3 linked regions of the Anolis sagrei genome follow. The protein of the gene in region 1 binds, or shares a complex with, the protein of each later gene. Links are inferred from orthologs where the notes say so. Each region holds a gene or a part of one and is shown on either strand. Other genes may lie near its edges.

Region 1 (8,246 bases):
AGTTTCCTTAGGCATTATCAGAAGCTTTGGTTGGCTTGAAATATAACCACATCATTAGCCATTAAAAAAGTCGAAAGACAAGAGGGTAGTCTATTGTAGGAGATCCAGAAGGAAGCACTTTTACTGCCCACTGCAGTACCTCTTCTGTCATTTTTGGAAATGGCAGGAGTCCAAAGCAGTGTGGTGCTTTCCTCACTGCACAGAATACCTCTCAACTTATCTACGGTTCATATCAGAAACTGTAATTTTGGCCCTAAAACGTGTTCTCGACTTATACATGAAGTATATATGGTACTCCCGGGACCATTCTGTGCAACTGACAATGCAATTCTGAAAAATCAATCAGCTTGAATGGGTAGTGTCTCTAAATCCTTGAGTGGACATTCCCCAGATTGGAGATATGGCACACAACTCATCTACAGGAAAAATATGGAATGGGAGAATTGATTCATTCTGCATGTATGAGAGCCGGAAATGATTTTGTTAGGAGCAGATGTTGAATGGATTCTGGAATGAGAGGATGGGAAGTAGGAACGACTGGAAGGAAGAGGCACAGGTGGGAAGGAACGAGGCAAATTTTCAGTTCCTTCTTTCTTTCTCTTCCTGGCTAATTTATCTTGTCATTGTGCATCATTTTTATTATCATTTCCCCATTTATTTTGCACTGTGGGATCAGCTATGCCTGGCGCCCATGAATGAGCGAGTGAATGACTGAAGATGGAGACCATCTGTTCCTCTGAGGAGGAAAGGACATTTGTGAAGATCAGTGTGTGTGGGCCAAGGGCTGAAGCAGCTGCGTCCAGCCATTTCCATCAGTGTTTTTTTTATATGTAATTATTATTGTCGTTGTTATTAACAATAAACCAGAATGATGTTGCACGTTGAACTAGTGCTCCTCTGTTGTCTTGTTTGTTAAAGGGCAACTTAAGATCACAAACTTCCTCTGAATTGTGGATACTGGGAACAGAACAACAGGAAAGTCACTTCCCTTGTGCTCTACTTCATGCAGTGTTTGAAATAAAATACTTAGTGAAAGACTTTGCTTAAGCAAAGCAGATCTGCTTGTTCTGGTTATTGTTATTTGCAGTCATTTGGCTTCATCTTATAACAACCCTATGAATGAGAGACCTCCAAAGGGCTATGCTCAAGTCTTGCAGACCTATGCCCCTTCCACACAGCTGAATAAAATCCCACATTTTCTGCTTTCAACTGGAATATATGGCAGTATGGACTCAGATAATCCAGTTCAAAGCAGATATTGTGGGATTTTTTGCCTTGATATTCTGGGTTATATGGCTGTGTGGAAGGCCCCTGTGTGGTATCTACACTGTTGAGTTAATGTAGTTTGACACCCCTTTTTACTGCCCTGGCTCAATTCTGTGGTATCCTTGGAATTGTAGTTTGGTGAGGTAATAGAAGAAGAGACATCTAAAGACCTTGTGAAAGTACAACTCCTATGTTCCATAGAACTGAGCCATGGCAGTTGAAATGAGGGCAAACTGCCTTAATTCTACAATGTAGATGCACCCTTAGAGTCGTAACTTCCTTGATTATATCAAACCCCCTGTAGAGCAGTCTTCCCCCTTTTCAACTGCCTTCCGCTTTACCCAGCATCTTTTTCTGTGAGGCACATTATCAAATTATATGTTCAAAGTACAACAGTCTCAGTTTAGTCTTATTGTCGCCTTCTGAAAACTCTTCTTATTCTTTTATAGATATCTTCACTGCGTTCTGTTAAGGGGAAGAGGAATTTAAATTTCTGAAGTTATTGAAGAATCAAAAGATTTCCTCCTTATGCAAAAGTATGATTTTACTATCACTTCTCTGAGAGGTGGTGCATTCATTTAGTATTGTTATGAGGGTTGAATGAAAAGTAATGCCTCCACCATTGTTATTTGGGTTTGGATGGGAATATTTTAATAAATCAAATGCAGAAATAATCCTTAGAACGTGCTCTTTACCTACCACTATTCACTTTTCCACAAAATCACCAGACAATTGGGATACATTTCTGCCAACGATGAACAAGTTTTCTGAAGCTCTCAGGGAAGAAGTCAAAACTCTGTTTCCGCAACCCATTGAGCACAGATCTTCCAACAGCCAAGCTAAAGCAATAATGTGATCCACCCATTATTGCAAAATGCCGATTATGCTTGAAATTTCTCTCTGAATGATATGACAATCATCCTGAATCAATCTGTCAACCTTTTGCTTGTGAAACTTGGTGGTTGATGTCCAACTCTTGGTTTGTCATGCAAGTCAGATGTTCCCACCTCAACATCTTTAAATTTACTCGCCCAATGACGCACAGTACTCACATCAACACAATCACCACAAACAGCTTGCATTCTCTGGTGAATCTCCTTTGGGGTGACACCTTCTGCTGTCAAGAATTCAATGACTGCACATTGCTTAAGTCGAACTGACCAACAGTCTGCGCAGGGTTCCATACTTTGCACTTTAACAACACAACCGTTCAATGCAAAGGTTTCCTGCCAAAATGGAACTGTAGAGGAGAGTCTACTGAACAAGCCATTACCTGCCACATACCAGTACTGCCATCTGTTAAGGAGTTACAAAGGTGGAGGCATTACTTTTCATCCAACCCTAGTATGTTTTCTGTTCTGCCCATTGTGCTTAAAAAACAACAAAAAAGATAGCAGGCAGAACTGAAGAAATCCGTCTTATAGCTGTCCGTGAAACTTAAGAATGAGATCCATTTGCCGTTGTAGCTGAACAGAAAACCTTTTTCCGTGCTCCAGATGGAAGACCAGTTGTGCTGGTATGGCTGCACCAGGAGCTCCTACATTTTTTTTCTATTGAGTGTTTGCATGTATTCCAAGATTCTATGCATTTTGCAATAAGGTGGTTTCCCTTGCTCTGCAATTATAGGGCCAATGACCCGTCAATCATCATTATGTTCTTTAGTTCCGCCCCTTTCCCCAGGGCTCTGGGAGGGAAAAGAAAGACTTCAGGCAGTCTTTCAGTTTTGGAAGCCTAGTTACAGGACGTGAGCTTTCCCCACCTGTAGAGAAGCTTCATTTCTCACAACATCCAGGGGAAACAGCCCTAAAGCTTCTAAGGAAAACAGTTTGACAGCACAACCCTTATTGGGGTTAAAGAAACAGCTCCACATCATTTGTGGAAAAATTCCAAAAAGACTCTAGCTGGAAAATCTACAAAGTCTTGGCTGATAGGTCTACTTGGGTAACCAGAAGCAATTGGAGCTGGGAATAGAGCCCACACCAGCAGAGCCTAGAAAACAGATTGCCCCAGGGAGTGGTTAAAAGGGATTTTCCTCTTAAAGGAAAGAAACAGTTCACGAAGCCAGTTGCCTGTCCTTTGTGGGAAAGATAAGAAGCATTTGTTTGACTTGTTGAAGATCTAAAAAGTATTTGATTGTTTGTTGAAGACCTAAGCAATAATAAAGAACTTTGTTAAACCTTTTAAGCTCCTAAAGACTTTTGTATAGGAAAATCCTTAGAGCCTCTCAGCTGAGGCACCCTGGCTTCCCGCTGGGTACAAAGAGCACGTCCTGTTCAAAAGCCAATTGCTATAGGCCCAGCGCGTGACAGCACACCAGTGTTCTCAAGAAAGGCTACTCTTGCAGACATTAGTAATGGCAGAGATTCATACTTGGACAAACATTCTCTTAACTCACCAAGTCACAGATCTTTTAGATCCTTTTGCTTAGGGTATGGCAACTCTTAACTGGTCTGGGGTCTGTTTTCTGCCTGAATACCTTTCATAGTAGGGTTACCATCAGGGTCAAGGCTTTTGTTGTTGTTCATTCGTTCAGTCGTCTCCGACTCTTCGTGACCTCACGGACCAGCCCACGCCAGAGCTCCCTGTTGGCCGTCACCACCCCCAGCTCCTTCAAGGTCAGTCCAGTCACTTCAAGGATGCCATCATCCATCTTGCCCTTGGTCGGCCCCTCTTCCTTTTGCCTTCCACTTTCCCCAGCATCATTGTCTTCTCTAGGCTTTGCTGTCTCCTCATGATGTGGCCAAAGTACAACTTTGTCTCTAGTATCCTTCCCTCCAATGAGCAGCCAGGCTTTATTTCCTGGAGGATGGACTGGTTGGATCTTCTCGCAGTCCAAGGCACTCTCAGCACTTTCCTCCAACACCACAGCTCAAAAGCATCGATCTTCCTTCGCTCAGCCTTCCCTAAGGTCCAGCTCTCACATCCGTAGGTTACTACAGGGAATACCATGGCTTTGACTAGGCGGATCTTTGTTGCCAGTCTGATGTCTCTACTCTTTACGATTTTATCGAGACTGGACATTGCTCTCCTCCCAAGAAGTAAGCGTCTTCTGATTTCCTGGCCACAGTCTGCATCTTTGCGCCTAGAAATACAAAGTCTGTCACGGCCTCCACATTTTCTCCCTCTATTTTCCGGTTGTCAATCATTCTTGTTGCCATAATCTTGGTTTTTTTATGTTTAGCTGCAACCCAGCTTTTGCGGGGAGGTGTAAGCTGGCCCTGATTGTTTCTTGTCTGGAGTTCCCGTTTTCTGAGTGTTGCTCTTTATTTACTGTCCTGGTTCCAGAGTATTTTTTTTAAATATTGCTAGCCAGATTTTGTTCATTTTCATGGTTTCCTCTTCTTGTTGAAATGGTCCACATACTTGGCTAATCAAGCTGGCCAACTGCAACATTCACAGTTGCCTCAAACAGACAAGAGACAAATATATAAACCCCACTTGCCCTTTGTAGGCTTGGGCAAACTTGGGCTTGGACTCCAACTCCCAGAAGTCTCAACTGCCTTTGCCAGTGAGCAGGCATTCTGGGAGATGAAGTCCAAAGACCAGAGGGAGGCCTCAGGGCTCTATGGCTGATCATTCTATAAGCCTTGCCCTCAACTGCCCAATCCCAGCGCGCCATAGGCAGTTGCCATGACAACTGGCGAGCCACTCATTGAGCAGGACCGTCCCGGAAGGTAAGGCACTCTAGTGTCCCACTTAACGACCCGTCGCCGAGCGCGCGGATTGGTTGGCGGGGCACGTGCCCGGAAGTGCTGCCAGTGAGGCGAAGGAGGCGATGGCGGGGGAGCTGGAGCGCTGGGTCTCCGGGCAGTTGCATACTTTGCTGGGCCTCAGCGAGCGGCATGTGGTGGCTTTCATGGTGGGCCTGGCCACCCGAAGCCGCACTCCCGAGGACCTCCTCGCCCGCCTCGAAGAGACCGAGACCCTCCGCGTGAGCGACCCGCCCGCCCGCGCCTTCGCCCAGCAGCTGTGGGAGCGGGTGAGCATGTCAATCACTCAACAGGGGCGGGGCTTAAGTAGAAAGGGGCGGGGCGTAGGTGGAAAGGGGCGGGGTAAAGAGGCAGGAGCTGCATGCAGTTTGACAACACTGTATGTGTTTCTCTTGGCTAAACTCTTCTAACACTAAGACTATCTTCAATTTATTTCTAAGGCTAAGGCTATTTATTTAATCAAATTATTCTTCATACTGGGTTGTTGTAGGTTTTTTCGGGCTGTATGGCCATGTTCTAGAGGTATTCTCTCCTGACGTTTCGCCTGCATCTATGGCAAGCATCCTCAGAGGTAGTGAGGTCTATTGGAACTAGGAAAAAAAGGTTTATATATCTGTGGAATGAACAGGGTGGGGCAACAAGAGATAGGGCCTTCTCGGTGGTGGCTCCTCGGCTGTGGACCACCCTTCCCGTGGACATTAGACTGGCTCCTTCCTTGATGATATTCCGCAGTAAGCTAAAGACTTGACTGTTCAAGAAAGTGTTCGAACAAGAAGTGCAATGATTGGTAATGGCTATAGGAATGGAACAACGGGAAATGATACTGGGTTGTGATTTGGACGATGAGACGACGCTGAATGGTTTCGTAGTAATCATAGAATCATAGAATCAAAGAGTTGGAAGAGACCTCATGGGCCATCCAGTCCAACCCCCTGCCAAGAAGCAGGAATATTGCATTCAAATCACCCCTGACAGATGGCCATCCAGCCTCTGTTTAAAAGCCTCCAAAGAAGGAGCCTCCACCACACTCCGGGGCAGAGAGTTCCACTGCTGAACGGCTCTCACAGTCAGGAAGTTCTTCCTAATGTTCAGATGGAATCTCCTCTCTTGTAGTTTGAAGCCATTGTTCCGCGTCCTAGTCTCCAAGGAAGCAGAAAACAAGCTTGCTCCCTCCTCCCTGTGGCTTCCTCTCACATATTTATACATGGCTATCATATCTCCTCTCAGCCTTCTCTTCTTCAGGCTAAACATGCCCAGTTCCCTAAGCCGCTCCTCATAGGGCTTGTTCTCCAGACCCTTGATCATTTTAGTCGCCCTCCTCTGGACACATTCCAGCTTGTCAATATCTCTCTTGAATTGTGGTGCCCAGAATTGGACACAATATTCCAGATGTGGTCTAACCAAAGCAGAATAGAGGGGTAGCATTACTTCCTTAGATCTAGATACTATGCTCCTATTGATGCAGGCCAAAATCCCATTGGCTTTTTTTGCCGCCACATCACATTGTTGGCTCATGTTTAACTTGTTGTCCACGAGGACTCCAAGATCTTTTTCACACGTACTGCTCTCGAGCCAGGCGTCCCCCATTCTGTATCTTTGCATTTCATTTTTTCTGCCAAAGTGGAGTATCTTGCATTTGTCACTGTTGAACTTCATTTTGTTAGTTTTGGCCCATCTCTCTAATCTGTCAAGATCGTTTTGAATTCTGCTCCTGTCCTCTGGACTATTGGCTATCCCTCCCAATTTGGTGTCGTCTGCAAACTTGATGATCATGCCTTCTAGCCCTTCATCTAAGTCATTAATAAAGATGTTGAACAGGACCGGGCCCAGGACGGAACCCTGTGGCACTCCACTTGTCACTTCTTTCCAAGATGAAGAGGAAGCATTAGTGAGCACTCTCTGTGTTCGTCCACTTAACCAATTACAGATCCACCTCACCGTAGTTTTGCCTAGCCCACATTGGACTAGTTTGTTTGCCAGAAGGTCATGGGGGACCTTGTCGAAGGCCTTACTGAAATCCAGGTACGCCACATCCACGGCATTCCCCGCATCTACCCAGTTTGTAGCTCTATCGAAGAAAGAGATCAGATTAGTCTGGCATGACTTGTTTTTGATAAATCCATGTTGACTATTAGCGATGACTGCATTTGTTTCTAAGTGTTTGCAGACCGCTTCCTTAACAATCTTTTCCAGAATCTTGCCCGGTATCGACGTGAGGCTGACCGGACGGTAGTTGTTTGGGTCGTCCTTTTTTCCCTTCTTGAAGATTGGGACCACATTGGCCCTCCTCCAATCTGCTGGAACTTCTCCCGTTCTCCAAGAACTCTCAAAGATGGTTGCCAATGGTTCCGAAATGACTTCCGCTAGTTCCTTCAGTACTCTTGGGTGTAGTTGATCTGGCCCTGGGGACTTGAACTCATTAAGAGCGGCCAGGTATTCCTGGACGACTTCTTTCCCAATTTGGGGTTGGATGTCCTCCAATCCCTCATCCACTCCATCTTGCTGAGGTTGAAGACTCTCTCCTCCTTTTCCTTCTGCTTCAGGGTAAGCTTTATTTAAATTTAACAGCTTTCAGCGCTGCTTTCTTTGAGAGGCGGGGCTTCCTGAGTTTGAAAATTAACTGCTCTGTTTGAGGGGAGGGGCTTCCTGAGTCTCAGAGGCGGGGCTTCCTGGTTATCCTATATAAACCAGTGTCTGAACCCAAGGGGCAGCTGGGCTTTCCACAGAAGTTGAGGAAGCAGGAACCCATTTTGTTTCCTTCTGCTTCAGGGTAAGCTTTATTTAAATTTAACAGCTTTCAGCGCTGCTTTCTTTGAGAGGCGGGGCTTCCTGAGTTTGAAAATTAACTGCTCTGTTTGAGGGGAGGGGCTTCCTGAGTCTCAGAGGCGGGGCTTCCTGGTTATCCTATATAAACCGGTGTCTGAACCCAAGGGGCAGCTGGGCTTTCCACAGAAGTTGAGAAAGCAGGAACCCATTTTGTTTCCTTCTGCTTCAGGGTAAGCTTTATTTAAATTTAACAGCTTTCAGCGCTGCTTTCTTTGAGAGGCGGGGCTTCCTGAGTTTGAAAATTAACTGCTCTGTTTGAGGGGAGGGGCTTCCTGAGTCTCAGAGGCGGGGCTTCCTGGTTATCCTATATAAACCAGTGTCTGAACCTAAGGGGCATACACTCAGTAACCTATACTTTCACCCCTGCATACAGACAACAACATCAAACACACACCAAGAGGAGGTCATTAGCAACCTCCAGATGGAACAAACACGAAAACTTCC
Region 2 (8,072 bases), on another chromosome or scaffold:
CTCATCATCCCTCACCACTGGTTATGGTGACTAGAGTTCATGGGAGCAGCAGTCCAATAATTAGGAGGAGTCGGTGTTCCCATAGCTCACTTCTAAAAGAACTCATTTACACTGGATACAACATTTCCACCTTTTCTGCAGGTTGAATCTGACTCACTATGGTTTCAAAGAAATGAATGTTAATTGAACATAACTGAAATGAACAGGTCCTAGTTATATCTCCTCCAATATCAGATGGGATTTGGTGCCAGCTAGATAAAATGCCAAGAATCAGTCCTCTTTTTTTTAAGAGCAGCACATGCATATCTGGCTGCTCTCTCATCTTCTGCACACATAAAAGTGTTCATGGTTCTCAATGAGAATGTGAATAAGCAGGGAAGCAGACTCCATTTAATTTTTCTCCTCCGCCATCACTTTACATGGCAATACACAAAAAGAGCAGGAAACTGGTCACTCATTCCATTACCTTGTTCCTTCTATGAAAGAAGTAACAACCATCTTCCTTGCCAACCTGCAAAGCCAATGAAGCCAATGCCAACCTGCAGAGCCAATAAAGAACTTACATTCACCTGTGTCACCCCACTCTTCATTTTTCTTCCTCTTGATCCACTACAAGCTTTGAATTGATAATGAACAATGTGCAGAAATCAAGTTGAAGGATATTTGTTATTCTTCCAGGCAAAACAGTTCATCTGTAAATAAAAAACAACATCTTTTTTAAAAAAAACACCAGAAAATGCAACTAAGGCAATTTTGCAAGTCTCCTATTTAATCTAGACCTATTATAACCTGTCAAAAATGTTCATAGATTAAAAATACCCACAAAATTATTTTCTTGGTAATTCATTAGTCAGTGTGTGTAGAAAATGATGTGGAGCCACAAAAAATGCAGAAGTGCAAAAGACAAGGCAGACAGAAAGAAAGGCACACCATGCCATAGATGAAAGATGTAGTTATGGGTACAACTCACACGGCCAGATTACAGCTTGGAGGGGTTAGATATCGGAAAACTGGTTTGCATTTACTGATCTCACATACATTCACATACATATTCACACAAATTGCGAGAAATGAGCAAGTCAGCACATCCGAAGTGACACGTCGCAGAAGAAATTATTCCATGGCATTGAGAGGTTGAGGAAAGAGGAGGCAAAGAAGCATATTCACCCAACCCTGCAAAACAGCCTCCAATTTAGGGAAGCCAGACTGAAAACTAGAGAGGGCTCCTATTCCTTTAATGGCTGTGTAGAAACTTCAGGAAGTTTTTGACTGTTACCCAGCTATGGGGCAAGTAACATCTACTGAAATTCCCTCTTCTATATGTTCCAATAACAGTAAAGAAACAATAACATCTGCATAGCCTGACATAGGGTGGTGGAGGTTGTTGTTGTTAATTACTACAAAGTCAACTTTGATTTATGGTGACCCCATGCATAAAAGGCATGCAACTCACCCTACTATCCACAACAGCCCTTGCAGACTCAAGGTGGATCTACAATCTATATAAATAAAAATGTAGTGTTAGTTCATGCTGCCATCAGAACTCAAAAACCACTGGGGGAATTGACACCAAATTTGGACAAAACACCTAACAGTCCAATGTATGTCCACCACACAAAAAAAATTGATTTTGTCATTTGGGAATTGTCGTTGCTGGGATTTATAGTTTACCTACAATCAAAGAGCATTCTGAACTCCACCAATGATGGAATTGGGCCAAACTTAGCACACAGGGCTCCCATGACCAACAGAAAAAACTGGAAAGGTTTGGTGGTCATTGACCTTGAGTTTGGGAATTATAGTTCAGCCACATCCAGAGAGCACTATGTACTCAAACAATGATGGATCTGGACCAAACTTGGCATGAATATTCCATATGCCCAAATATGAACACAGATGGAGTTTACAACAGAAAATACTTAAGGCCATCCAGTCCAACTCTCTTCACCAGGGCAAGAAAATGTAATCAGAGCCCTTCTGACAAAGACCCATCCAGTCATAAATATAGATAGATAGATATGATTCTCTCACACACAGATATAGTATCATAGATTTGAAAGAGACCCTTAAAGAAGGACAATGTCCATGTTGCATATTCCAGAGTAAGCAAACCAGACACTCTCCACATCAACACTGACAAAGAAACAACAAGAAATACTGTTTACTCACAATCATAAAGGAAATACATATATTAGAAACCAACACTTTCTCATGACTTTATTTTCCAGATCAACAGACTGGGTCACTGCAACACGTGGCAGGGGACAGCTAGTCCTATATAAATAAAAATGTAATGTTCATTTGTGGGATTAACATAACTTAATAACCACTGGACGAATTGACACCAAATTTGGACACAAGACACCTAACAACCCAACGTATGTCCTTCATGCAAAAAATTGATTTTGTCATTTGGGAATTGTAGTTGTTGGGATTTATAGTTCACCTCAATCAAAGAGCATTCTGAACCTCAACAACGATGGAATTGAACCAAACTTGGCACAGTTCTCCCATACTGGAAGGGTTTGATGGGTAGTGTCCTTTGGTTTTGGAGTTGTAGTTTTCCTACATCCACAGATCACTGTGGACTCAAACAATGATGGATCTGGACCAAACTCTACACGAAGACTCAATATACCCAAATGTGAACACTGGTGGGGTTTGGGGAAAATAGAATTTTGACAATTGGGAGTTGTAGTTAGAATCAAAGAATTGGAAGAGACCTCATGGGCCATCCAGTCCAAACCCCTGCCAAGAAGCAGGAATTGCTGGGATATATAGTTGCTGGGATATATAGTTCACCTACAATCACAGACCATTCTGAACCCCATCTATAGAATTGGGCCAAACCTCCCACACAGAACCCCCATGTGGGCCACAGCAACGCAAGGCTGGGGATGGCTATCACCATATAATTCAGATTATCAAATCTGCTTCAGGACCCATTGATTTGTCTTTTTGGCTATGCAAGAAGTGTAGAACACACTTTGACGTGTTTATTTTCTTCCTCTCAGCTTTCTTCGCTACAGTGTAGGTTTAATGAGGTGTGACACAACTGTAACTGCGATGGCTCAATGCAATGGAGTCGTAGTTTAACAAGGCCTTGAGCCTTCTCGCCTGAAGAGCGCCGGCGCCTCATCAACCCACAGCTCGCAGGTTTCCACCGAGTCCTGGGAGTTCAAGCGGCCTGGGGAGTCAACTTGGGAGAGGGAGTGGGAACTAAGGCGAACAGTGAACAGATGTGAAGCCTTTTCGCCCTCCCAAACGGGAAGGCCGTTGCCAAGCAACTCCTGTCCTTTTCCCGCCACCTCCCTTCGAACGGAGAGACAATGAAAGAGAGAGAGAGAGAGGAAGGGTCCCAAACTGAAACTTCCGCTTCCCTTTCTTCCCCACAACTTACCGTCAGCTCCAGAGCTCCGCCATTACTGAGCGCGCGAGCTGACGCTGCTGCGATGACGCCACTTCCGCCAATTCGCCTGCCAATCAGCTACAAAACAGAAGGTGGGACTTCCGGAAGGAATAAATATTGTATTTCTAGGCGGGGGGGGGGATCTGTGGCCCTAGTGACGTCACTAGGACAGAGTCAGCTCTAGAACTAAGCCATTTCTACTATTCACAAAGAAACTCGCGCGCACATGAGAACAAGAACTATATAAAAACAGAACAAAACATTATAAAATAACAACAAAACGCAGACACACAAACAAAGACTCCCTCCTTCCTTTCTGATGGTTATTTTCCCATGTTAATCTCGCTTTAAACGTCACTCCATGCAGTCATGCAGGCCACATGACCTTGGAGGTGTCTACGAACAACGCCGACTCTTCGGCTTAGAAATGGAGATGAGCACCAACTCCCAGAGTCGGACACGACTGGGCTTAATGTCAAGAGAAAACCTTTACCTTAATCTAGCTTTAATTTTATGTAAAGTGATTTTTGTTCCTGGGCTATAAAGTGTCATTTCCTAATTGGTTCTATCATCAAAACATGGGAAAAAGTTGATTAGACTCCACAACCTTTGTTTTGGCAGGACATCCTTAACCAAATCTAATGATTGTGCTGCTATGAATAAATAAATAAATATGACAATTGGGTTTCAATTATATGATTAGCGTTCAATGCTTATGGATTCCTAGCTAACATGCACATTTGTAAACAAATCATGTTTAGTCCCCTTCCAAAGGGATTCTTAGGCAAACATTTCTGCAATTTTTTTTTGTCGTTTCAGGAGTGTCCTGTTGTGAGAGAATTGGCTGTCTGCAAGGACGTTGCCCAGGGGAAGCCCGGATGATTTTTGATGTTTTTATCACCCTTGTGGGAGGCTTCTCTCATATCCCCGCATGAGGAGCTGGAGCTGATAGAGGGAGCTCATCCGCCTCTCCCTGGATTCGAACCTGCAACCTGTCCTGCCGGCACAGGGCTTTAACCCACTGCGCCACCGATGTATTCCTGTGTGTTCTCATGCAGGCCAAAGACTTATGTTGCTACATGTACACTGTAGATTTAATGCAGTTTGATCCCACTTTAACTACCATGGCTCTATGCTTTGGAATCCTTGGTTGTAGTTTGACAAAGCCATGTGATAATATGATTGCTGGGTCTGGAAGCTCCGAGTGTTACACTATTTCTGCTTCGCTCCTTCGAGAGCGCTGTTTGCGTAACACGGTACAGAACACGTGACCGAGACGGGGGCAGAGTGAGAGACTGAGGTAATATAAGCCAGGCCGGACACAGATATTATAGAAGGGATGTAAGACTTTGGTAATAGTATGATAGCTGGGTCCAGAAGCTCCAAGCGTTATGGAGATGCCACATCGCTCCTTCGGGAGCGCTGTTTGCGCAAGAGAGACTTAGCTAATGTAAGCCAGGCCGGAGACAGATAATATACAAGGAATGGAAGAGTTCTTTAATGGGGAAACCCTAACCCTGAACCGTACCGTAAGCCTAAGCCTAACCCCTTACCCAAACTCTAAATCTAACCCTTACTCTAAACCAAAACCTTACTCTAACCCTTACGCTAACCCAAACCCTAAAGTGTACCCTAAATGTAACCCCAACCCTCACTCTAATCATAAACCTAACCCAAACACAAACCCTAAACCTTGTCCTACCCTTTACCCTAAGCGTCCTCTCCTCTCTATCCTTCCCTCGCTCTCCCCGCTCTCACTGCTCCCTCTCTTCCCTTATTCACAGCCGCCTTGCAGCATCTCTGGAATGCTCGGAGCTTCCAGACCCAGCTATCATACTATAACCAAGAGTTCTTTAATGGTAAAACCCAACCCCAAACCCTAACCCTTACCCTAACCCTAAGCCTAATCCCTAACCCTGGAGCCCCCGGTGGCGCAGTGGGTTAAACCTCTGTGCCAGCAGGACTGAAGATTGACAGGTCACAGGTTCACAAATCCAAGGAGAGCATGGATGAGCTCCCTCTATCAGCTCCAGCTCTCCATGCGGGGACATGAGAGAAGCCTCCCATAAGGGTGGTAAAACATCAAAACATCCGGGTGTCCCCTGGGCAATGTCTTTGCAGATGGCCAATTATCTCACATGAGAAGCGACTTGCAGTTTCTCAAGTAATTCCTGACATGGCAACAGAAAAACAAAAAACCCTAACCCTAACTCTTTCCCTAACCGTAAGCCTAACCCCTAACCCTAACCCAAACCATAAACTTTATTCTAAACCTTATCCTAACTCTCCCCTCCTTTCTATCCTTCCACCAAATGCAGCTATGAAGTATATTCCCGCCCTCAGTGTGCCGTTCCCTCTCTGAACCACGTGGTCCCTTCCCTTATTCATTTCCTTATTTTATTCACAAATAAAAAATAAATAATCTTGTATAAATCAGTTACAGCCTCAGAGGAAAACATTGCACTGAAGTTCTAGCCTTGATTCCTTGGGACAGAAGAAGACAAGTCATGAAGTGCAGATGGAGCCCCCAGTGGCGCAGTGGGTTAAACCCCTGTGCCGGCAGGACTGAAGACCGACAGGTCGCAGGTTCGAATCCGGGGAGAGGCGGATGAGCTCCCTCTACCAGCTCCAGCTCCTCAAGTGGGGACATGAGAGAAGCCTCCCACAAGGATGATAAAACATCAAAACATCCAGGCGTCCCCTGGGCAACGTCCTTGCAGACGGCCAATTCTCTCACACCAGAAATGACTTCCAGTTTCTCAAGTGTCTCCTGACACGACAAAAAAAAAAAATGAAGTGCAGATATGAGTTAAGCATTTAGCAACTTGGCCAGGAGGACAGGGTGCTCACTGTTTTCACTGGTAGGAAACCAAAAGTCACCACAGAAAAAACACACTCAAATATTATAGTGTGGATCAAATATAGTAGATAGAAAGAACGTATTTTGGGTTGGATTATTCTTTTTGCAACCAGCCTTTCCCCCTTTCCCCCCCACATCTTATGTCCTCCCACAATGTATTGGCCTGACAAGTGGAACTCAAAGGAGGGCCCCTCCAGCAGACTTCAAATCTCAGGCCCACTGTCATCTATCAAGGTCCCAACGTGGTTTTAATGTTATTTCCAGCAGCTTGAATATAAACAGCCAGTGCAATTCCTTTAAAACTGGCGTCTTGCAGATTCTCGACTTTAGCTCTATTTTTCAGTTTGAAGTCAATAGCTGGGAAGTTGTTGCCATCTTAGCTGAGAAAATAAAACCTTTAGTTCAAAAAGGCCAAAATGTCAGCCAAAATGCACATGAAAAGCAATAGGATTGTAAGACTGGAACAGTAAAATAATAATGTGGCTGTATGCCTTTTCAGGATAGTATTTTTTCATGCAAGCCTTGTCTGGTGAAAATGCTGTGCTGCTAATTAGCATTTCCATTTGAACGCAGTGAGATGTTGCTGAAATTGCCACAGTTCAGTTGTCTCATAGAAGGACTAACTGTGTTAACACTTATCTCATAGGAGGAAATATAACACTTATCTCCTGAGATGCTGTAGCTATAAACCATTTTGCTGATGAAGCAGCAGGCACTTTCACCGCAGGAATGCTATCCCCTGCATTTCTTGTTTCTGAAAGGCAAGACTAAAGATGCTTCGGTATACAGAAACCACCTATGGAAGTCTGACTTTTTGAAAGAGAAGGAACAATTTGTTTGCAAAATACTCTTCCTGCAGCAGATGGCATATAATATGCCTTTGCCTTCATTGGACTCCAACGTCCTCAAATTATTATGAGAAGTGCCATTTACTTCATGGAGGTCAGCATCAGCAAAATGTTCCCAAACATTGTAATAAGCTCTCTGGGATTCTTTTTTCAAAACCTACCACAAACTTTTCTGCTCACTCATATCTCTGACCTTTTAAGAATAATTCCAGTTCTAACTTAGCTATCTCTTGCCAATGATTACTTTCCTACATAAAGCCTCTTCTGTCCTGATATACCAGTCAACAATGAAGAACTCTAATAAAAAATGATGAATAAGTATATCATCATCTTGGTTTTCCAGTTGCTTCACAGTACTTTGTCCTACTACTTCATCACACACATTAAATTCCACTGAGGTAAAGGTAAAGGTTTTCCTCTGACATTAAGTCCAGTCGTGTCCAAATCTGGAGGGTGGTACTCATCTCCATTTCTAAGCCGAAGAGCCAGCATTGTCTGTAGAACCTCCAAGGTCATGTGGCCAGCATGACTGCATGGCGTGTTGTTACCTTCCTGTCAGAGCAGTTTAGCAGCTCAGCAGTTTAACCCACTGCGTCACTGGGGGCTCCAAATTTTACTGAGTCACTCACTTGAGAAACAGCAACCTACTGTGTTCATGACATGACATAGACTTCAAATGTAAGGTAGAGATATCTTGGTGTTTTTTAAATGTTTTAATTTTTCCAGGATGAAGTGGAGCCATTGGTGAGCACCCTTTGGGTACAGTCACTTAACCAATGACAGATCCACCTAATAATAGCATTGCCTAGCCCACATTTGACTTGTTTACTTGCAAGAAGGTCATGAGGAACTTTGTTGAGGGCCCTACTGAAATCAAGATATGCTACATCCACAGCATTCCCTGCATCTACCAAGCTTGTAACTCTATCAAAAAAAGAGATAAGATTAGTCTGGC
Region 3 (7,876 bases), about 240 Mb from region 1:
AAGATAATTTTATTTATTCGCACTCCCCATGCCTCAGTTTTCTCTCCTAACAGAAATATATCCCCAACTAAACTCAGGCTTCTAACAAGATACTAAAAGCTACAATGAGGACACAGCACATTTCTCCAAGGAAGAATATTCCAGCAGGGAGTTCAGCCGAGTTGCAGCAACTGGCTTGAGAAGACGCAGCTCTCGCAGATGGCTTCCTTTCCCTGCCAGAAAGAACATTTCATTCCAATTTTCAACAGTTTCTGGATACAGAACAAAAGAGAAACATGCTGATCCTAGGAATGAATTGTGTGACACTTGGAAGGTGGGAGTTAGGGTGTTCAAACTACAGGAAAAAATAATCCATCTAAACTTTTAGGAAAAAATTCCTGATGACAACAGCTGTTCAACACTGAATTATGCTACCTCATAGGGTGGCAGAGTCTCATTCAGTGTAAGTGTAATAACAGAGGCTGAATGATTATCTTTTGGGAGAGCTTGATTGTGAATTCATGCTTGGCATGGGGTTGGACTAGATGACCACAGGGGTCTCTTCCTACCCTATGATTCTATCTGTAACCTATAACTCTTTTAAGATTCATTTGATTTAAAGTTGGTATGTTAATCTTAGAAACAAAAACACTTTTTGAAAAAAACTCCAGGCAGAAGAAACACCAATGATCTTTCAGGCCATTCCAACAACCAAGGATGAATCCTTTTGTTTCCTTCTTTTAAGAAGTGCATACAGAAGACTAGAGTATCTTAACTTTGGGTTTACCCTTTGCTTTATTTTAATCACTTCACACTTAGAGAGAAGCCTACATTTTTAGTAAAACAAAGGACAACATCATTAGAAATTCACACTAATTTCATTATCACAGCAACATAATATATTTCAATTAGTTTCACATGGTATGGTTGCTGATGACACGATAAATAAATAACCAGGTGCACTGTTTAATGTAATGCATTTCATGAATGGTACTATGGTGGCACAGTGGGCTAAAGCGCTGAGCTGCTGAGCGTGTTGATTGAAAGGTAGCAGATTTTAATCCGGGCAGCGGTGTGAGCTTCTGCTGTCAGCTCCAGCTCCTGTCCACCTAGCAGTTTGAAAACATGCAAATGTGAGTAGATCAATAGGTACCGCTCCGGTGGGAAGGTAATGGCATTCCATGCAGTCATGCCTGCCACATGACCTTGGAGGTGTCTATGGACAACGCCGGCTCATCAGCTTAGAAATGGAGATAGGCACCACACCCCAGAGTCGGACACAACTGGATTTAATGTCAGGGAAAAACCTTTACCTTTACTTACTATGCACTTTATATGTTTTTAACTTTATTATTAGTGAATGCATTTATTTGCTTAACTGTTTTAATTGTTTAGTTGATTGAATTTGTTTTATGGCCGTGTTTCAAGCAGCACTGAATTTTGCCGGGGCTGTAAGCCGCCTTAGTCGCCCAATGGAGTGAGAAAGGTGGGGTATAAATGAAGCGAATAAATAAATGCATTTCAGACAGAGTATGGGACATGTAGTCCTGCAAATGATGCTGGACTCTCACCAACCCTCACTAGTGTAAGCCATGGTAATGGATGATGGGAGAAGCGGTCCAACTGTATATGATGCATTTCTTTCCACTTATAATAAAAGTAACACTGCATTGCAGATCCATGTACAGCAGACTCTCAAGCAACCAGCAAAACTAAAATCAAAGAATTAATCATTCATTCACAAAGCTGTATTTAGAATACAGTAAAACTGTGTGTGTCTTAATTTGCTTTCAGTTACTGTATTTTAACATTAATATCAAGTCAATACAGAGTTTATGATATGGTATAGCATGAGGCATATTTTTCACTGTAACTCTCAAGCAAACAAAAACTCCATCTGATGGGTGCAGGTTAACTGATAGCCTGCTGTATTTGTAATGAATGGAAAATAATCCACATTTTATCGAACTCAGGATTTGTGTGTGTGTGTGTGTGTCAGGAGCGACTTGAGAAACTGCAAGTCACTTCTGGTGCAAGAGAATTAGCCATCTGCAAGGACGTTCTCCAGGGGAAGCCCAGATGTTTAATGTTTTACCATCCTCGTGGGAGGCTTCTCTCATGTCTCTGCAAGGGAGCTAACAGAGGGAGCTAAACCCGCTCTCCCCGGATTCAAACCACTGACCGCTTGGTCAGCAGTCCTGCTGGCACAAGGGTTTATCCCATTATAGAACCATAGAATCGTAGTTGGAAGAGACCTCATGGGCCATCCAGTCCAACCCCCTGCCAAGAAGCAGGACAATTGCATTCAAAGCACCCCCGACAGATGGCCATCCAGCCTCTGTTTAAAAGCCTCCAAAGAAGGAGCCTCCACCACACTCCGGGGCAGAGAGTTCCACTGCTGAACAGTCAGGAAGTTCTTCCTCATGTTCAGATGGAATCTCCCTTCTTGTAGTTTGAAGCCATTGTTCCGCATCCTAGTCTCCAGGGAAGCAGAAAACAAGCTTGCTCCCTCCTCCCTATGACTTCCTTTCACATATTTATACATGGCTATCATGTCTCCTCTCCCAACCTTCACTTCTTCAGGCTAAACATGCCCAGCTCTTTAAGCCGCTCCTCATAGGGCTTGTTCTCCAGACCTTTGATCATTTTAGTCACCCTCCTCTGGACACATTCCCATCTCTTCTCTGTTTCCTTTCATCTCTAATCTACAAGCTTGCTCTTTCCTCCCTGTGGCTTCCTCTCACTTGGCTATCATGTCTCCTCTTAGCCTTCTCTTTTGAATGCTAAACATGCCCAGCTCCTTAAGCCGCTCCTCATAGGGCTTGTTCTCCAGACCTTTGATCACTTTAGTCGCCCTCCTCTGGACACATTCCCATCTCTTCTCTGTTTCCTTCCATCTCTAATCTGAGTAACAGAATTAACTATCAACACGTGGCTTGTTGCATATGAAGAGCTCACCTGGCAGCGCCATGCAGCAACTCTAGCAGCCTGAGCTCAACCCAGGGTCCTTTCTCTTCCAGGAACAACTTCCCGAGAGCGACGCTTCCCCGCCGGAAATCTGGGACCAGAGCACTGAGGGCTTTACCACCATCTGCAATGGAGGGGGGGGGGAGAAAGAAGGGAGAAATATTTACTTACATAGAAGAGGGGAGACTCTTAGGCAGCCAGTATTCAACTATGTTTTAAAGCATTATGGCTTACTTCACAGTCCCTTCTCTTTTTTCACCGCGGAGTCATTCAACTCTAACTCCTTTCTTCCTTTGGACACTCCCCCCCTAGTCTGGTAATGGAATGTTCCCCTTCCCATGAACCAATCCCAACGAAAGAAGGCGGGCTTGTTGAATTTATTTATTTATCCTGCCAGGAGTGAACCAAAACAGTTGTATTGCGTTAAAATCAATCAAACAAACAAACAAAACACAAAGTTTGCAGACCTGGTATCCAGTCAATTATATTACATTTCTAACAGAACAAAGCAAACAAACAGAGAAAATACAAAATGTGTGAGTTTGGTAGTTGCTTAAATGTCCTTTGACCAGTATCTGGCCACTTGGAGTGCCTCTGGTGTTGCTGCAAGAAGGTCCTCCATTGTGCATGTGGCAGGGCTCAGGTTGCATTGCAGCAGGTGGTCAGTGGTTTGCTCTTCTCTGCACTCGCATGTCGAGGATTCCACTTTGTAGCCCCATTTCTGAAGGTTGGCTCTGCATCTCGTGGTGCCAGAGCGCAGTCTGTTCAGCGCTTTCCAAGTCGCCCAGTCTTCTGTGTGCCCAGGAGGGAGTCTCTCATTTGGTATCAGCCATTGGTTGAAGTGCTGGGTTTGAGCCTGCCACTTTTGGACTCTCACTTGCTGAGGTGTTCCAGCGAGTGTCTCTGTAGATCTAAGAAAACTATGTCTAGATTTAAGTCGTTGGCGTGCTGGCTGATACCCAAACAGGGGATGGGCCAGAGATGTCACTGCCTTGGTCTTTTCACTATTCACTATTCGGACCAATAGGAGCGCAGCAAAGTTTGTTGCCTGAAGGAGTAGAAAAGTGTTATACATTTGAGTCAAAGAAGACTTTAGTTTGTGCCTCGTCTCCAGAGACATTGAACAAAGCTCAACCAATTACACCGCACGCGCGACCCATTCTTTCCGCCCACTCCTTCCCTATGTCATCATTACACCAGCCGGGCTCAATCTACAGCTCACTGCTCCGAGGCGGATAGAAAGTTTCGGGTGGCGGTGTTCAGTCGGAAGACTTTAGGTAACGCACTTTGGACTGTTCCAATATCCAATGGGGGAGGCCTCCCGAGTTATGAGATAAGTACTGATACGGATTCGATCCATATCCTCCCATCCACTGCCTTAACAAGTTACATATTGTGAGACGCCGAGCCAGGTTCCAATAACAAGGTTTGGAGACTTGGCTTTCCTTCAGCGTTGCTCTCTCTCTTCTCTCCCCCCCGTTGCCGAAGTGGTCGCGCCCGCTTTCCAAGATGGCGGGAGGTTTGCCCTGGAGCTTTGCTTAAACCGAAGCGAAAGCGCTTTCCTTCCGTGTTTTCTTCCCTGTCAAAGGACTGGGCCGAAGGCAGCGCCATGAGCAACATCTACATCCAAGAGCCGCCCACCAACGGCAAGGTGAGGGCCCATTTCGGGAGAGGAAGAGCTGGGGTGCGTCTACGCTGCGGAATTAACGCGGTTTGAACCCGCTTTGAACTGCCATGGCTCAATGCTATGGAATCCTGGTAGTTTTACAAGGTCTTTGCCCTTCCCTGCCAAAGAGTGCTGATGCCAAACGACAACTCCCACCATTCCATAGCACTGGGCCATGGCAGTTGAAGTGGTGTCAAACTGCATTAATTCGACAGTGTAGATGCAGCCTAATAGCAAAGCTGTTGGTCTTTGATGTTAATTTTTAATCTACATTTTGTTTCTTGCCATGCCAGCTTATGTTTGTGTGGAGTTTTTGGAAAAGGGCATTCATAACATTTTGGAAAACGTCATTTGGAGATCGTAACTTTTTAAGAAAAGCATGACCTTTCAGAGAAGAGTCAAAAACGCTTTAGTGTAGACTCTTCTCTTGTGGTATACAACCAGATATAATTATGCAAGGTAATCAGTTTCAGTTGTTAGACTGAATAACCTGTTATCGCTGATCTGTTAGAAAACAGATTTTGCCAGTGCATAAATAAACAGCAGGGCAAAAGTATGACAGCTGGGATCCTACGCTGGTTGTGCAATGCGGGCATGACTTAATGAGGGAAACACGTGCGCATGACAGCGCAGCGAGTGAGAGACGCAACTGCGACAGAGTCATAGAATCATAGAGTTGGAAGAGACCTCATGGGCCATCCAGTCCAACCCTCTGCCAAGAAGCAGGAATATTGCATTCAAAGCACCCCTGACAGATGGCCATCCAGCCTCTGTTTAAAAACCTCCAAAGAAGTTGTGGGAACATTGTTTGCCAGAAAGGGGGAGAGGAAACATTTCTGTCCCGTTTATCTTCTTCGTAAACCATTGTTTATCATTTCACAGTAAATAAGTCTAACATTACTTCACTCGCCTTAAGCACTATGCTTGGCTGTTTGTTGTGCCCCCCCCCCTTCATTAATTCTGACCCACGTTGTGCACGTCTTCCCATCGTTCATTCTGACCCGCATTGCACAAGTACCGTACCATAGGGTCCCAGCTATCATACTTTTTCCAACAGCAGTGCTTCAGAAGTGTTTTTCAGTGCCCAAAAATATACTCCCCCCATAAAACAACTTGTTTTATGTATTATCGAAGGCTTTCATGGACGGAAATACTGGGTTGCTGTGAGTTATCCGGGCTGTATGGCCATGTTCCAGAAGCATTCTCTCCTGTTGTTTCACCCGCATCTACGACAAGCATCCTCAGAGGTTGTGAGGTATATTGGAAACAAACAAGGGAGGTTTATATATTTGTGAAAGGTCCAGGGTGGGAGAAAGAACAATCAGCTAACACCTCCCAACAAAGGATTCCCCTAGGCAGGAATCAGCCAGCCCTTGAAGCTGCGAAGATTTGCGATGCTAATCAAGGTGATTAACTGCAACATTCACACTTGCCTGCAACAGACAAGAGTTCTTTCTCCCACCCTGGACATTCCACAGATATATAAACCTCCCTTGCTTAGTTTCCAATATACCTCAAAACCTCTGAGGATGCTTGCCATAGAGATGGGCGAAACATCAGTAGAGAATGCTTCTTGATCATGGCCATACAGCCTGGAAAACTCACAGCAACCCAACTTGTTTTATATCATACACTCAAGAGACAAAGATTAAGTAGACTTGGATAAAAATAACATATTTGGTTTACTCACAACCTTCATGTGTTCAGCATACACAGGTGCAAAACTTATCAGTCCAGTTTCAGATATGTTTGAGATAATTCTCTGTACTATCTGGCCAGAACACTTCTTATAGCAAAACAACAGGTGTGTGATCTGAGGTCTGAAGTTTGCTATCAGCAGTCTGTAGTAATCTGCTATGATCATGTGGCCTGTAGTCTGCAATAGTCTGTCTGTCTGCAGTCTGCTATAGCTCATGGGGTCTACAGCCCCTTTTATAACTTCTTAAGAACCATAGAGCAAAGGAAGCTGCATACCAGAACATACATATAAAGAGTAAGCAACGGGATAATAGATAAACATTACTAGAGAAGGCTTGAAGAAGGATGTCATTTCAACAGTGTGGGGAATAAGCAAATTGGATGTACATTTTATTTAGTCAGAGTAGTGAATGCTGGATTTAATTACTCCGAGCACTTAATTAAATAAAAGGCATCATTGGATGTGCCTATGTGGCCTGTCAAGTGCAGATGTGACAAGAAATGGGATGTATCTGATGCATCAAGTTACGGTTTGTAATGTACATTCAGAAATGTGTAAATGGTTTATTCTTCGTTATTAAACGGGGTCTGTGTATGTTTTATGGCAGGCAAGGGCCAATATGGGCCCTCCAGGTGTTTTGGACTTCAACTCCCATAATTCCTAACAGTCGGCACCAGATCCCATTTGATCTTGGAAGGCCGAAGTTTGCCCATGCCTGTTTTATGGACTTGGAACCCAGACACATTTTTCACTGCAGCTAAAAAAAATGTTTCTGATCTCCTATTCAGTGTTCTTACCTGGTTCAGGTGCACTAAACCCCTTTGTTAGGGATAACACAAAGACATAACTGAGTGCATCAAGTTTTTATGAAATGCTCTCCAGATTAACTGACTGTTCCTGAAGCCTCCCATATGTGACCATTGCATGTTTTGTGGGAAGCAACAAGCAGGAGGGCAGATGTGCCTGGTTACATAGAATTGTAGAGTAGGAATAGAACCCAAGGACCATCCTGTCCAACCCCATTGTGGCATGTAAGAGAAGCACAATCAAAGTACCCCCAACGGATGGCCATCCCGCTTCTGCTTAAAAATCTCCAGAGAAGGAAACTCCATCATGCTCCAAGGCATGTTCTACTGTTGAGCAGCTCTTTCTGTCAAGAAACAGAAAACAAGCTTGCACCCTCTTCAATGTGGCATCCTGTCAAATAATTAAGCATGGCTATTATGTCCCCTTCTTTGCCTTCTTTGCTCCAAGCTAAACATTCCTAACTTCCACTCTTCATAGGACTTGTCTTCCAAACCTTTGGTCATTTGAGTCGCCCTCCTCTGGCCATGTGGTAGCTTGTCAGTATCTCTCTTGAATTGTGGTGCCCAGAACTGGACACAGTGTTCCTGACGAGGTTCATACTAAAGCAGAATATAGTGAGGCTATGACTTCCCTCGATCACAACACTATACTCCTGTTGACGCAACCTAGATTGCATTGCCAGTTCCTTCCTCTGAAATATAGGCTAGCCCAGGCATGGGCAAACTTTGGCCCTCCAGGCTTTTTAAACTGCTGCATCA

What was found.
Region 2: DHX16 (region 1) and CWC22 share a complex: the UniProt entries of both Homo sapiens proteins name them as parts of the minor spliceosome. The link is inferred for Anolis sagrei from reciprocal best matches to the Homo sapiens genes DHX16 and CWC22.
Region 3: DHX16 (region 1) and CWC27 share a complex: the UniProt entries of both Homo sapiens proteins name them as parts of the minor spliceosome. The link is inferred for Anolis sagrei from reciprocal best matches to the Homo sapiens genes DHX16 and CWC27.

What each region holds. Positions count from the first base shown.
Region 1 is NC_090022.1:23,746,522-23,754,767, forward strand, and holds the start of DHX16 (pre-mRNA-splicing factor ATP-dependent RNA helicase DHX16), read left to right. Parts: upstream 1-4,993; 5' UTR 4,994-5,041; coding exon 5,042-5,245; intron 5,246-8,246. UniProt on the Homo sapiens protein: Required for pre-mRNA splicing as a component of the spliceosome. Contributes to pre-mRNA splicing after spliceosome formation and prior to the first transesterification reaction.
Region 2 is NC_090021.1:188,703,048-188,711,119, reverse strand, and holds the start of CWC22 (pre-mRNA-splicing factor CWC22 homolog), read right to left. Parts: upstream 3,460-8,072; 5' UTR 3,401-3,459; intron 1,500-3,400; exon of another isoform or gene 1,454-1,499; intron 693-1,453; 5' UTR 591-692; coding exon 564-590; intron 1-563. UniProt on the Homo sapiens protein: Required for pre-mRNA splicing as component of the spliceosome. As a component of the minor spliceosome, involved in the splicing of U12-type introns in pre-mRNAs. Promotes exon-junction complex (EJC) assembly.
Region 3 is NC_090022.1:268,457,419-268,465,294, reverse strand, and holds the start of CWC27 (spliceosome-associated protein CWC27 homolog), read left to right. Parts: upstream 1-4,417; 5' UTR 4,418-4,555; coding exon 4,556-4,597; intron 4,598-7,876. Other genes in the region: protein SREK1IP1, read right to left, coding at 2,938-2,950. UniProt on the Homo sapiens protein: As part of the spliceosome, plays a role in pre-mRNA splicing. Probable inactive PPIase with no peptidyl-prolyl cis-trans isomerase activity. As a component of the minor spliceosome, involved in the splicing of U12-type introns in pre-mRNAs.